Linked DNA regions of Notamacropus eugenii. The protein of the gene in region 1 purifies or fractionates together with the protein of each later gene. This does not show direct contact. Links are inferred from orthologs where the notes say so. Each region holds a gene or a part of one and is shown in the gene's direction. Other genes may lie near its edges.

What was found.
Region 2: the proteins of SNRNP70 (region 1) and NCBP1 purify together in Homo sapiens (affinity purification with mass spectrometry; 3 studies listed by BioGRID and IntAct, counting the BioPlex papers as one, with this or other methods). This does not show direct contact. The link is inferred for Notamacropus eugenii from reciprocal best matches to the Homo sapiens genes SNRNP70 and NCBP1.
Region 3: the proteins of SNRNP70 (region 1) and MRPS14 purify together in Homo sapiens (affinity purification with mass spectrometry; 3 studies listed by BioGRID and IntAct, with this or other methods). This does not show direct contact. The link is inferred for Notamacropus eugenii from reciprocal best matches to the Homo sapiens genes SNRNP70 and MRPS14.

What each region holds. Positions count from the first base shown.
Region 1 is NC_092876.1:12,376,316-12,379,915, forward strand, and holds the start of SNRNP70 (U1 small nuclear ribonucleoprotein 70 kDa), read left to right. Parts: upstream 1-1,327; 5' UTR 1,328-1,457; intron 1,458-2,116; 5' UTR 2,117-2,135; coding exon 2,136-2,282; intron 2,283-3,600. UniProt on the Homo sapiens protein: Component of the spliceosomal U1 snRNP, which is essential for recognition of the pre-mRNA 5' splice-site and the subsequent assembly of the spliceosome. SNRNP70 binds to the loop I region of U1-snRNA.
Region 2 is NC_092874.1:314,404,409-314,408,225, reverse strand, and holds the start of NCBP1 (nuclear cap-binding protein subunit 1), read left to right. Parts: upstream 1-1,414; 5' UTR 1,415-1,567; coding exon 1,568-1,601; intron 1,602-3,817. Other genes in the region: TSTD2 (thiosulfate sulfurtransferase/rhodanese-like domain-containing protein 2), read right to left, coding at 524-538. UniProt on the Homo sapiens protein: Component of the cap-binding complex (CBC), which binds cotranscriptionally to the 5'-cap of pre-mRNAs and is involved in various processes such as pre-mRNA splicing, translation regulation, nonsense-mediated mRNA decay, RNA-mediated gene silencing (RNAi) by microRNAs (miRNAs) and mRNA export.
Region 3 is NC_092873.1:471,548,196-471,552,012, forward strand, and holds the start of MRPS14 (small ribosomal subunit protein uS14m), read left to right. Parts: upstream 1-906; 5' UTR 907-1,010; coding exon 1,011-1,055; intron 1,056-1,075; exon of another isoform or gene 1,076-1,296; intron 1,297-3,817.

The sequences.
Region 1 (3,600 bases):
GAAAAACTGGAACAAGAGCACCTCCTTCACAGGACTGCTGTGATCGAGTTAGTCCAAAGTGGAGGACTTGGCCAACGTTAGTGATACATGAACGTCAGATAGCAGTATTACTCTTCACAGCCCAGCACCTAGCACAGAAAGGGCTCACAAAACGCAGCCCATGAGAAGCCTCCAGCCTGCCCTGCGGTCCTGGGAAGGCACACCGCATCTGGCCGTGAGCTTGGTCAGATCCGTGCTGGGTGAGAGCTGTGCCAAGCGTGGGCCTGGGCAGAGCGTGCCTGGGGGGCTTCGGAGGAATCCCTACTGTGCTCTTGCTTTTACTTGGAAATAAACCTCTTTGGGAAAGAAAAGGAGAGATCCTCCGTGTCTGCTGTCTCCACTAGGTGAGAACACTTTGATTGACTCCCACCATCCCCTGGGGCGTGAGGAAAGCCTGTGAAGTTCTGGAGCTCTGGAGGCCCTTATGCCCAGGACATCCGGGGCAGCCCAGGGAGGGAGAGCAGCTCTGCTGGAGTTCTGGGATCATCAGGGGATGCTTGGCTAGAGACCCAAGGACCAGGGGGCCTCTTTCCCCCAGGCTACCCCCTGGCAACGTTCTGGGGCCGCGACCCTGGGGGGCCTGGGGCTCTCCGGAGCTGGAGGTCCCGCAGAGAGCAGCCCGGCCCCGCCACGGGGCAGCCCGGGGCTCTGAAAGGGACCCCAGCTCCCTAACGCCCAGAGGGCGCCCTTGTGGTGTCCCAGGCTGCACAGGCTTTAGTTTCGTCGTTCCGGACGGATCGCGGCCCCGCCCTCCGGGGAACGTGACCCTTTCTTTCTGTAAAGCGGGGCTGGACTGTACTGGATGAGTGTGTCACGTGGAGGACTCTTTTCTTGGTGAAAGGACACTTCTGGTTGCGAAGAAAGGTGTGATTCACCCAGCTCGCGGAAGGCGGCGGTTGAGCGAGTACGAAAGAGGGCGAAGGAGAAAGCAGCAGGCGCATGCGCCCTGACAACGTTGGCCGGGACGGGGAAGGAAAAGGGCGAGCGGAGGACGATCGGCGCGTGCGCGCTGGACTCTTCCCCGGCAGCCCTCCCCGCCCCAGTCGATTCTGCGCGTGCGTACTGGTTCGCGGGCGCGCAAGGATCTCGGCGTGGCCCCGCCTCCCGTCGGCCCCGCGCTCGCGCCAAGTTCTCGCGAGACCCGCCTCCCTTGGTCGGTGCGTCTCTCATCGCCGGGCCGCGCTGGTGCCTGTGTGAGCCGTGACCGGACGGACGGGCAGAGTGACGGAGTGACGGAGCGAGCGCCCCGGAGCCGACAGCGCTGCCGGCCCCGCCGCCGCCCCCGGCCTCGGCCCCGACGCGCCACGAGGCCCCCGAGCTCCAGGAGGACGACGACGAGCCGCCGCCGCCGCTCTTGCTGCCGCCGCCCTCCCCGGGAGCCCCGCCCGGCCGAGGGGGCCGCCGCCGCCGCGCGGCCGGTAAGTGCAGTAGGCCGGCCTGGCGGCCGGGGCCCCGCTGGTTACCCACAACTCCCTGCGCCCGCCGGTACCCCCCCCCCCTTACCCACAACTCCCTGCGTCCTCCGGGGGCACCCCCCCCACCCGCACCATTCTGCACCCGCTTGTCCCCCCCTTACCCATAACTCCCTGCGGCCTCCGGGACCCCTCTCGCTACCCATACGTCTTTGCGCCAGCCGGTACATCCCGCACCTCCTTCACCCACAATGCCTCACGGCCGTCGGGGACCCTCCCCCTTGCCCCCTGAATCCTCTGGGACCCTCCCCTTGTACCCGGGGTGCCCTGTGCCCGTCGGGACTTCTGCCCAGACCCCCTCCTCACGGATCTCGGCCCGCCAGCCCCTTCCCCGCCCTCCTCACCCGCGTCCCCCTATGTCGCAGGAGCCCCCTCCTTTACCCAGAGCCCTTTGCGGCGCCGAGGCCCTGCTCTCACCCTCGTTGTCGTTGTTGCCCACGTTGGGCCCCCTAGAACCCCGGGAAAGCCCCTCGTGGGAGGTGGGCCCGGGGGGCCTGTCACTGAGGGTCCCTGCGTACCCCCGGAGGCTGGGCCCAGCGGGGAAGGGAGGTGGAGGCCAGGTGCCTTTGTCCCCCAGACTTGTGACCGCCATCTCCTCCCTCCAGACCCTGTACACCCGGCATCATGACGCAGTTCTTGCCTCCCAACCTCTTGGCCCTCTTTGCTCCTCGAGACCCGATCCCCTACCTGCCCCCCCTGGAAAAGCTGCCCCATGAGAAGCACCACAACCAGCCCTACTGCGGCATTGCCCCCTACATCCGGGAGTTTGAGGTGAGTACTCCCACCACCCCTTTCCAGGACTGGGCCCAGACCCAGGCAGCGGCAGGAATCCCCTTGGGGGCAGTCAGATCACTGGGTTCCTTTGGAAGAATTGGGCTCAGCTGGTCCATTCCAGCTCCGTGGGCATCAGCAGGCTGGGTGCTTCCGTTGTGGAGTGAGGGGGCTCGGCCCCTTCTGGTAGTGATGTTTGGAAGATCTGAGGGAATGCCTCAAGTTTACGCCGAGGAGTTTTGTAGGACTGGCAAAGGGCAGAGGATGGGCAGAGAGCTGGGTGCCAGGGAGGCTGACTTCTCTTCACTGCTGTGGAATGTGACCAGAGGGATGGTTAGCAAACAGCTGAGACCCCTGAGTTTGCTTTTGCTGAGGACAGACAAGAAAACCCCTCTTCCCTTTGTTACAGCCTTAAGAATGTGGCGGTTTAGAGAGTGCTGTAGGTCTAGTTCACTTAGATTTCAGCAGAGCATTTGGTGAGAGTCTCTTCTGTAATTCTCCTGCTAAAGGTGGCACGAGGTGCTCTTGAAATGAATGCACTTGTATGTGGTCAGCACTTGCTGAATACCAGCCCCCAAGGGTAGTGCAGAGGAATTCTTTTTGATCCTGGAAGGAGGCCTTCAGTAGGGGCCCCTTGGAGAGAATCTTCACCAGTGAGGGATTCAATCATTTCTGTTGGTGCATTGCTAACCATGTTTGCAGGTGACACAGAGCTAGGAGGTAGTGAATGTATTGGGTGACAGAATCAGGAACCAGAAAAAAAATCTTGATAAGCTAGACTATTGGGGCTGGCCAAAGTAAGATGAAATGTTGTGGAGGACAAGCACCAGGACTTGAATTGACTTTCATATGCACAAGATGAGAAGTAGGTGTTGTAGAAAACAGTCCAGAGCGAGGTGTTAGGTAACCACCCCCACCCCTGTGGAGCTCTGTGGCCTAGTCTTGGGGTCAGCCACTTAGGCAGGTGATTCAGGTCGCCTTGTCCTCTGCCCGAGTTCATGAGAAGTGAAGATTTAGGGAATGTGGTGGGTTTCTCCCGGCATATGAAGGACTCCCTCCCTCATGACAGAAGGGAGGGCAGAACCCCGAGCACTGGGTCAGAACAAAAGTAAGGCCTCTGGAGGCTCACCAGGGAGCAGAGGCTAGGCAGCCACTAGGGGTTGCTGTAGTTATGGGCATACTGATCACCGAGGTCCCTTACTAACAGTCACTAGGATTTCTAATGCACTTTAGGGTTGGCACACATCTTTACAAAATTTATCTCATTTGATTGTCACAACAACCCAGGGATGTAGGTGGTCTTATTATTCTGTTTGAC
Region 2 (3,817 bases), on another chromosome or scaffold:
GGGCCTGAGGACCTCTGGCACAGCTGGCATGTACCACCTCCAGCTGGTGTTAGTTTGGCTTCTAGGCCAGTCCACCATCACAAGGGGGGGAGCGGACCGGACAGCTGCCTCTGTGGGTGCTGCCACCCTGCCTCTTCTGAAGACCCAGAAAAGAAGGTGCATGCCACCCACAGGCCTTGGCATCTTTACTTCAAACACAGAAGCTCGGTGACACAGGGGGGATGCAGGCCTTACACTGAAGCTGAAGTCTGACAGCAGGAAGGGCAGACAGACTGCCGGACACACAGGTCTGGAGGCCGTCACACCAAGAGGGCTGGCCACTCAGCAGGACAGCTCGGCCATGGCCCCCCGGGGCTTCTCCAGCGGGTGAGTGACCTGCTCTGGCCCGGCGCTCCAGCCTCTGAGCCACTACCTGCAGCCTTCCCCCCCTCCAGACTGCCAGAGAGTGCCAGCAGAGGGCCCTCGGGCTGCCAGTGTCTTCTCTTCACCCCGGTGTTCCAGGCTCACCGTCCTGTGCACACACCGTGTGACTTTCCATTCCTCTTTTGTTCACACTCGTTTTCAGTTCTTCAGAGTTGCCTCAGTTTCCCCCTCCGTAAAACAGAACTGAACAACCCCCACCTTAGAGAGGAAGGCCTTAACGAGGCCTGCCGGTCTCCAGGCCGGCCATCAACGTCAGTTATGGCTCTCAGGGGTAGGACTGCCGGCCCACCCCCCCGGGGGCCCCCGTGCCACGCGCACTGACCCGGGGGGAGGGGAGGGGTCCGAAGCGTCAACAGAACACCCGGGAGGTCGCAGGAAGTACCTACCTGGCCGGCTCCCGTCTTTGGGGGGCTTCCACCCGCGGGCCCGTCTATCCTAGCAACCACCGGAACACGCAGTCCCCCGAGAGCCCTTCGCGGGCACGTTTCTCCTCCCGACCGGTACTTTACAGACGGCCCCTCAGCCCAGACGTCGCCTACGTCCGGCAGGCGCAAGGGCAGTCGGGAGAACCATCGAGTGGCACAGAAGGCCCAGAGCGTCACCACCTCGGCTCCGCGCGGCCTAGCGTCTGGCCGAGACTCCTTCCTCCTCCCTTCCCCCCGCCCTTTCCCTAAGACGCGCGCCTGCCCAGCCGGGACCGACGCTCTAGGAACTGGCTCTCCCCGCTCCCTGTTCTCCCGGAAGAAGATTAAGCGCGAGGAGCGGGAGGAGGGGAGGGGAGAGAGAAGGCGGCGGAAGTTCGCTCCGCGGCCTTGTTGGGCCGCTCCCTTGGGCTCTCCCGCTTCAGGCTCCCTCACACGCGACGCCTCCCGCCCGGCCTCCCGAGACCCTGACGGGACGTCCTCGGGACGGTGGAGACGGGAGGTGCCCTCTTTCCCCTCCCCCAGCCTCCACGCCCGCCTCGCTCGCGCGAGCTCTAGCGTGCGTGTGCGTCAGCGCCGCAGGCCGGCCCGCAGCTCCCCGCGCCGCCTCGCCACCCCCTCCCCTCGCCGCTTCCGCCCTTTCCCGCTGCCGTGAAGCGAAAGGCGCGGGTTTCCCGCGATCTCCGGCGGCCGCGGAGGCGGAGGGGCGCGCGGCGGGCAGGATGTCGCGGCGGCGGCACAGCGACGAGAACGACGGTAAGTGAGCGGGCGGCGGCGGCCCGGGCCGGGCGGGCGGCCGGGAGGTCGGGCCGGGCGCGGGGCTGCGGAGCCGGCCCGCTCCCGGGATCCCGCTGCAGGCCTCTGGTCCGGGAGCCCCGGCTTCCAGCGCGGCCTCCGCCGCTCCCAGCCGTGACGTAGGGCCGCTGGGGCCTCAGTGTCCCCGTCTGTAAGTGGGCGTGATAACTTAGGATGTACTCAGCATTGTTGTGAAGATCAAGGGCGAATATACGTAAAGCCTTTGTAAGTAGTAAAGTCTTGTGCTAACGTTAGCCATTATTGATAAACGCAGATCTATCCGAGACCCCCCGGGGTTCACGCCCCGTCACCTCCCAGCACTGGCTGCCCGAGCCAGGACCTCGGTCCGCATCAGGAGATGGAGCAGGAGGGGCCTGTTTGACTTTCACCCACGTCTTGTTCTTATTTCGAGCATTAACCAAAAAATATGAAACTGGCATCACTCATTAGATGAAGGTTCTTCACCTTCTCGTGCGCGTCGTGGGCTCCTTCGGGGCCTGTGGACCTTTTTTCAGATAACGTCTTTGAGTGCATGAAGGAGGATTTCCGAGGAAACCAGTGATCTGAAAATGTGGTTATCGAAGGATTTAAAAGGACAACAGCATTACTGACTGGCTTTAAGAGCCCCTGCTGTGGACAGAGCTGTCTGTCTTCAGGGGCGTTCTCTTGTGGACACTTAGAAAGGATGGGCAACAGGTTCACCGTGTGACACCTATCATAGCTGCGCTCTTTAAACAGAATTCTGTAACTTTATTGGTAGTCTCTAGAGGGAAAGGACAAGACCCTGAGTGATTCTTCAGAGCAGGATTCCAAATTCATGTTCAGGGAAATACATATTATGGAGACTTGTTGAAGCTGCAGTAACATAACTAGGCAGGTATCAGAAGTTTCTCATAAAAATGTAAAAATCTCAGAAAATGTTCTATGTGACTGTAACAACAGTAATAGTATTAATCTAACAACTAAGATTTATTTTAAAATATGCATTTTGAAATGCAATATGATTCTGGAAGGGACTAGTGTTTTACATTTCATTTGTTTTGGTTCAGGTGAAAGAGCTAATAGCTTCGGATCCAGACAACCTGGGTTAAATCTGCTGCTTAATACCTTTGTCACATTTGGCAGTTCATCTTACTATGTAAAGTTAGGTGGCTGTGCCTGTGAATCTGAATATTTATTAAGGGTTGTTTCTTACCACACCTCCAGGATAAAGATCTGGTCTCAGAGTCTGGGAAGACCTGAGTTCAAATCCTGTGTGTGACTGGTATTGGTTTTGTGACTCTGGGTAAGTTGTGCCAGGCAACCTTCTAAGACTTTTAAAGTAGCTGAAATAATTACCTGTTAGTTTTGGTTCAAGGAGAGAATTTTTGCTATTGGAATCTCCCTGCAGGGATGAAATCTTAGATCTGGATTTGATTGGTGCTAACTGTTGTGCTAGATGCCTAGAAGTAGAAAGATGAAGTATGATCATCTGATCTCCAACAGTTTAAAATCTTTTTTGCCATACCTTTCCTCTGTAGTGCTCTGAAATAAATATGTGATTGTTCTCTTTATCAGAGAGGTTGACAATGAACTTAGGTAACATTTTTTATTCATTTGAACTAGAGATCTTGTCAGAATGAGCAAATTTAGAGGTGATCTGCAAATCTGTATTTTGCTAAAGTCCATCTCCTTGGATTTTCAAAAGTTGTGTCAGTGGATGCCAGGCTTTATCGTACCCTGTCAAACTGGAAAGATTTTGAATGTAGTCCCAGAGATGAGGACAAGCATAGGTAAATGAGGAGTCACTCAGGTTGAGCACTCCAATGATGATTTTTCTGGCTACAATTGATTGAAACTGTCTGCTAAGTATATTTATCCACTGAAGTATATTTCATGTCTTTTACAAGTAATTAAATACACTAAATATGTGGTTTTTAAAAAATATGTAACATGCACAGTAATTAAATTACATTGGCATAAGAGTAATCCCTATTTTTGTCTCTGGAGGGAACTTTAGTTTTTTACACCTTTTTCAAGTTGATACTTTTCACTACCACTTTTTTTTAAAAAAAGGAGATTCCCACAGAGATGTGAACATGAAAAAAATATGTCTTAAATGGAAATATACAACTATAAACCTATCATCACTTAACATAGCAAATATATATTGTAAATCATTCTCATTTTAATTTAAA
Region 3 (3,817 bases), on another chromosome or scaffold:
CAAAGCTGTAGCTGTCAGATGCCCTTCCGCTTACTGTGGGAGGAGGAGGAGGAGGAGGAGGAGGAGGAGGAGGAGGAGGAGAAGGAGGAGGAGGAGGAGGAGGAGGAGGAGGAGGAGGAGGGGGAGGAGGGGGAGGAGGAGGAGGAGGAGGAGGAGGGTTAGCACTCACAGAGCACTTCTAAGTCTTGTCTCATTCGGTCCTGTTTTCCTCCATGTTACAGAGGGGCATGTGAGCCCAGGGGCACTGCCCCGGTCCCTAACCCCAGCCTTGGCATGTGAGCCCGAGGGCACTGCCCCGGTCCCTAACTCCAGCCTTGGCATGTGAGCCCGAGGGCACTGCCCTGGTCCCTAACCCCAGCCTTGGAGCCCGGGGGCACTGCCCGGTCCCTAACCCCAGCCTTTACACTTTTAAGGTTTGCCGAGCGTCGTCCCTGCCCTGGGAGGTGGGCACTGCTATTATCGGCCCCATTTTCAGAGCAGGAAACTGAGGCTGGCGCGCTGGCATGACTTGTCTTCCCCATTTGACCCGCACTTTACCCCCGGCTGCCCAGTCAGCTTGTGTCTTAACTGCAGTGACCTGCACGGGGTCTCCCCCTCCCCCGCTCGGGGCAGGGACACGTTTGTCCCTTTCTCCTAGTCCCTGGCCGCCTGGCACCTAGGGGGCGGCCCGCCAGACCACCAGAGGGCTGGGCGCCTTTGGGTTTTTCTGACGTCACCTACTTTCACCCCTGCACTCTTGCGTTTTAAACACTTAGGTCTGAAGCGCGACCCAGAGAGGGGCAAGCGCGGTGACGTCACGGGGGCGGAGCCGTAGTCGAGCACTCTCACTGCGCATCCTCCTCGCGCACGCTCCCCAGGGCTCTCCTTCTCCCTGCCCCGCCCCTGGCCCGCCCCCTGGCCCGCCCCCTGGCCCGCCCCCTGGCCCGCACGAGGCCCCGCCTCCCCGTGCCTGCTCCTCTCTCCTTCGGTGTCAATAAAGTTGCGGACCTTTGAATCCCGCGTCCGGCAACATGGCGGCCTCCGCGCTGGCTTCAGTGCTGCGGTCCGTACGTCAGGTCAGTATTGGCCTCGTCCGCTCCCTCTCCCCGGCCTTTTGTCCCCCCGCAGCTCCCCGACCCCCGAAACTGGCGGGCCCAGGGATGTCCTTCCCCCAAGCCCCGCGGGGGAGCGGAGGAGTGAGCGCGGCGAGTGTAGACGGAGGACCGGAAGTGTCTCCGAGGTTAATGAGGGCACCGAGGCGATCGTATTGATGATAATGATGATGACAACCGGTAGCATTTAGAGGGCGATCTGAAGGTCTGAAAGCGCGCCTTTGGATCCTCAGCAGCCGGGGGAGGGGTCGGTGACCTGCATTTTACAGGGGAGGAAACTGAGGCAGGAACGATGGCGGTTGTGGGAGGCAGGCTGCGAGCTCAGAAGCTGGAAGAGAGGGGCCGCCTACAACGCCCGCCTCCAGCCCGGCATTCAAAAGGAAAAAACCCAGAGCTGGGAGGGAACACCAGCAGCCCAACCTCACACGTGGCCAAGGAGCAGCCGGGATGGGAGTGGGGTCCGCCCCAAGGGGGCCGAGCTGCCCCTGAGCAAACGCTGAGGGACCTGAGACTCCGAGCCCTTGGTTCAGTCATCCCGCTGGGCCTCTGCGGCTCTCCCCATTGTTGGATGCCCGGGGGGCCGTCCCCTCCCGTTCTCTGCCAAATCCTTGACCGGCCCCCACCTGAAAGACCGTGTTTGTAGCTTTGTATCTATGTCTGTCTGTCTGTCTATCTATATCTGTATCTATATCTATCATCTACCTACGTCATCTAATTCATCCATCCATCCATCCATCTATCTATAGATATAGAGAGAGATACATATAGACATAGATATATACTCTCTGTACAGATACATAGATATATATATACTGTCTGTACTGTGATCGCCATAGCTTCCAAAGGATCAGTTATCATCTTTACACGGATGAATCCCAAATCCAACCCAGACCCCTGCCCTGGAACCCCCAGCTGCATCCTGGACATCAGCACCTGCTTGTCCCTTTCCTATCTCAGACTCAGCATTTCCAAAACAAAACTTAACCATGTTTTTCATCGTGGCAGGCAGCTAGGAGACTTGATGAATAGAATACGGGGCTTGGATTCAGGAGGACCTGAATTCAAATCCTGATTCAGAAACCTGCTTATTGGATGATCCTGGGCAAGTCACCTACCTGCTCTCTTCCTCAATTCCCTCATCTGTAAAGTGGGAATAATAATAGAACCATCTCACAGGATCTTTTTGAGGATCCAATGAGGTAGCATGTGAAGCATTTTGTCAACCTTAAAGTGATGTGTATGTATGTGTGTGTGTGTGTGTGTGTGTGTGTGTGTGTGTGTGTGTGTGTGTGTGTGTGTGTGTGTAATGTGCTAGATATTATTTCCCTCTAAATCCACCCTTCCTGCAAATCCTTCCTGGCACTGAAAATCACTTACTCAACAAGCATTTATTAAATGCCTACTATAGGAGAGACACAGCACTAGGCACTGGGGATACAAACACAAAAAACAAGCTTCTGCCCTCAAGGAGCTTACTTCCTATTTGGAGGGAAACATATATGTGATTAAGTAAATATCTTAAAATGTCAGTGTTATATGTAAAGTAATTTGGGGAAGAGCACTGTGGAGATCCACAAAGCCTTGTGTGGCAGTATGTAGGATTCAGACCCTGAGTCATCCTTGACTGTTCCCTCTGTCTCCCTTGCTTCTGTATCCTATTGGCTGCCAAGTCTTCTTGATTTCACCTACACAACATCTCTCGACTCTATCCTTTTCACTTCTCACTGTAGCTGTCTTCATCCAGGTCCTCAACCCCTCTATTTCAATAGTTTCCTAATTGGTTTCCTTTTTCATTCTATCTTCCACACTGTATCACTCCCCTGTTCAAAAGTGTTCAGTTGATCCCTTTTGCTTCTAAGATAAAGTGAACTCTTTAATCCAGTCTTTAGAGCTCTTTGTTGTCTGACTCTCACTCACCTTTTCAGACATTTCATATGACTTCCCTTCGCATATTTTGTATCCTTGCCAAACTGCCTTGCTTGATATCTCTCCAAAGTCAACATTTTCCCATCTCAGTACCTCCAATTCTGGAACATATTCCCTCCTTATCTCTGTCTCTTAAAATCTAAAATTCCTAGTTTTCTTTAAGGCTCAGCTCAGCTATAAATCCCTATTCAGAACCTTTGGTGATCCCCTCAGTTATAATATTCTTTCCCTCTTCAGTTTTTTGGTATTTCCTTGCCTATATGTGTGTATTTTCATTCAGTGGGAAGTAAGTTCCTCGAAGGCCTAGGATTTGTTGTTTTCTTTGTATCTTCAGTACCTAGCACTGTTCTTGGCATAAAGCAGCAGCTCATAAATATTTATTGCATGAATGACTTCAAGGAATTCTATGACAGTAAGACAACAGGGGTTGCTCACATGGCAAGAGCGAGGGATGACAGACACTAGAGTGCTCCATGGTACCTTCATGATGTTGGGAGAAATTGAAGAAGCCTTCCAGCATGGCGGGTGGACTCGTGGGAAACTTTTGGGGGAACTTTGATGAAAGTCCCACAGGATGAGGAAAGACTAGATGAATAGCTATGTCCCTCACTGGAGGAACTCCCACCCTGAAGAGATCACAAATATGAGTGCATGTCACCTTCCCTTGGTAGAATGTAAGCTGCATCGAGTGCAGTGCCTTCGTCAGAGCCAACACTTAATAAATGTTCGATTAGAAACATTAAGTCACCTTGCACAAAAGATATAAAAGGGATGGGGGGAGTCATTAAGACAAGGAACAA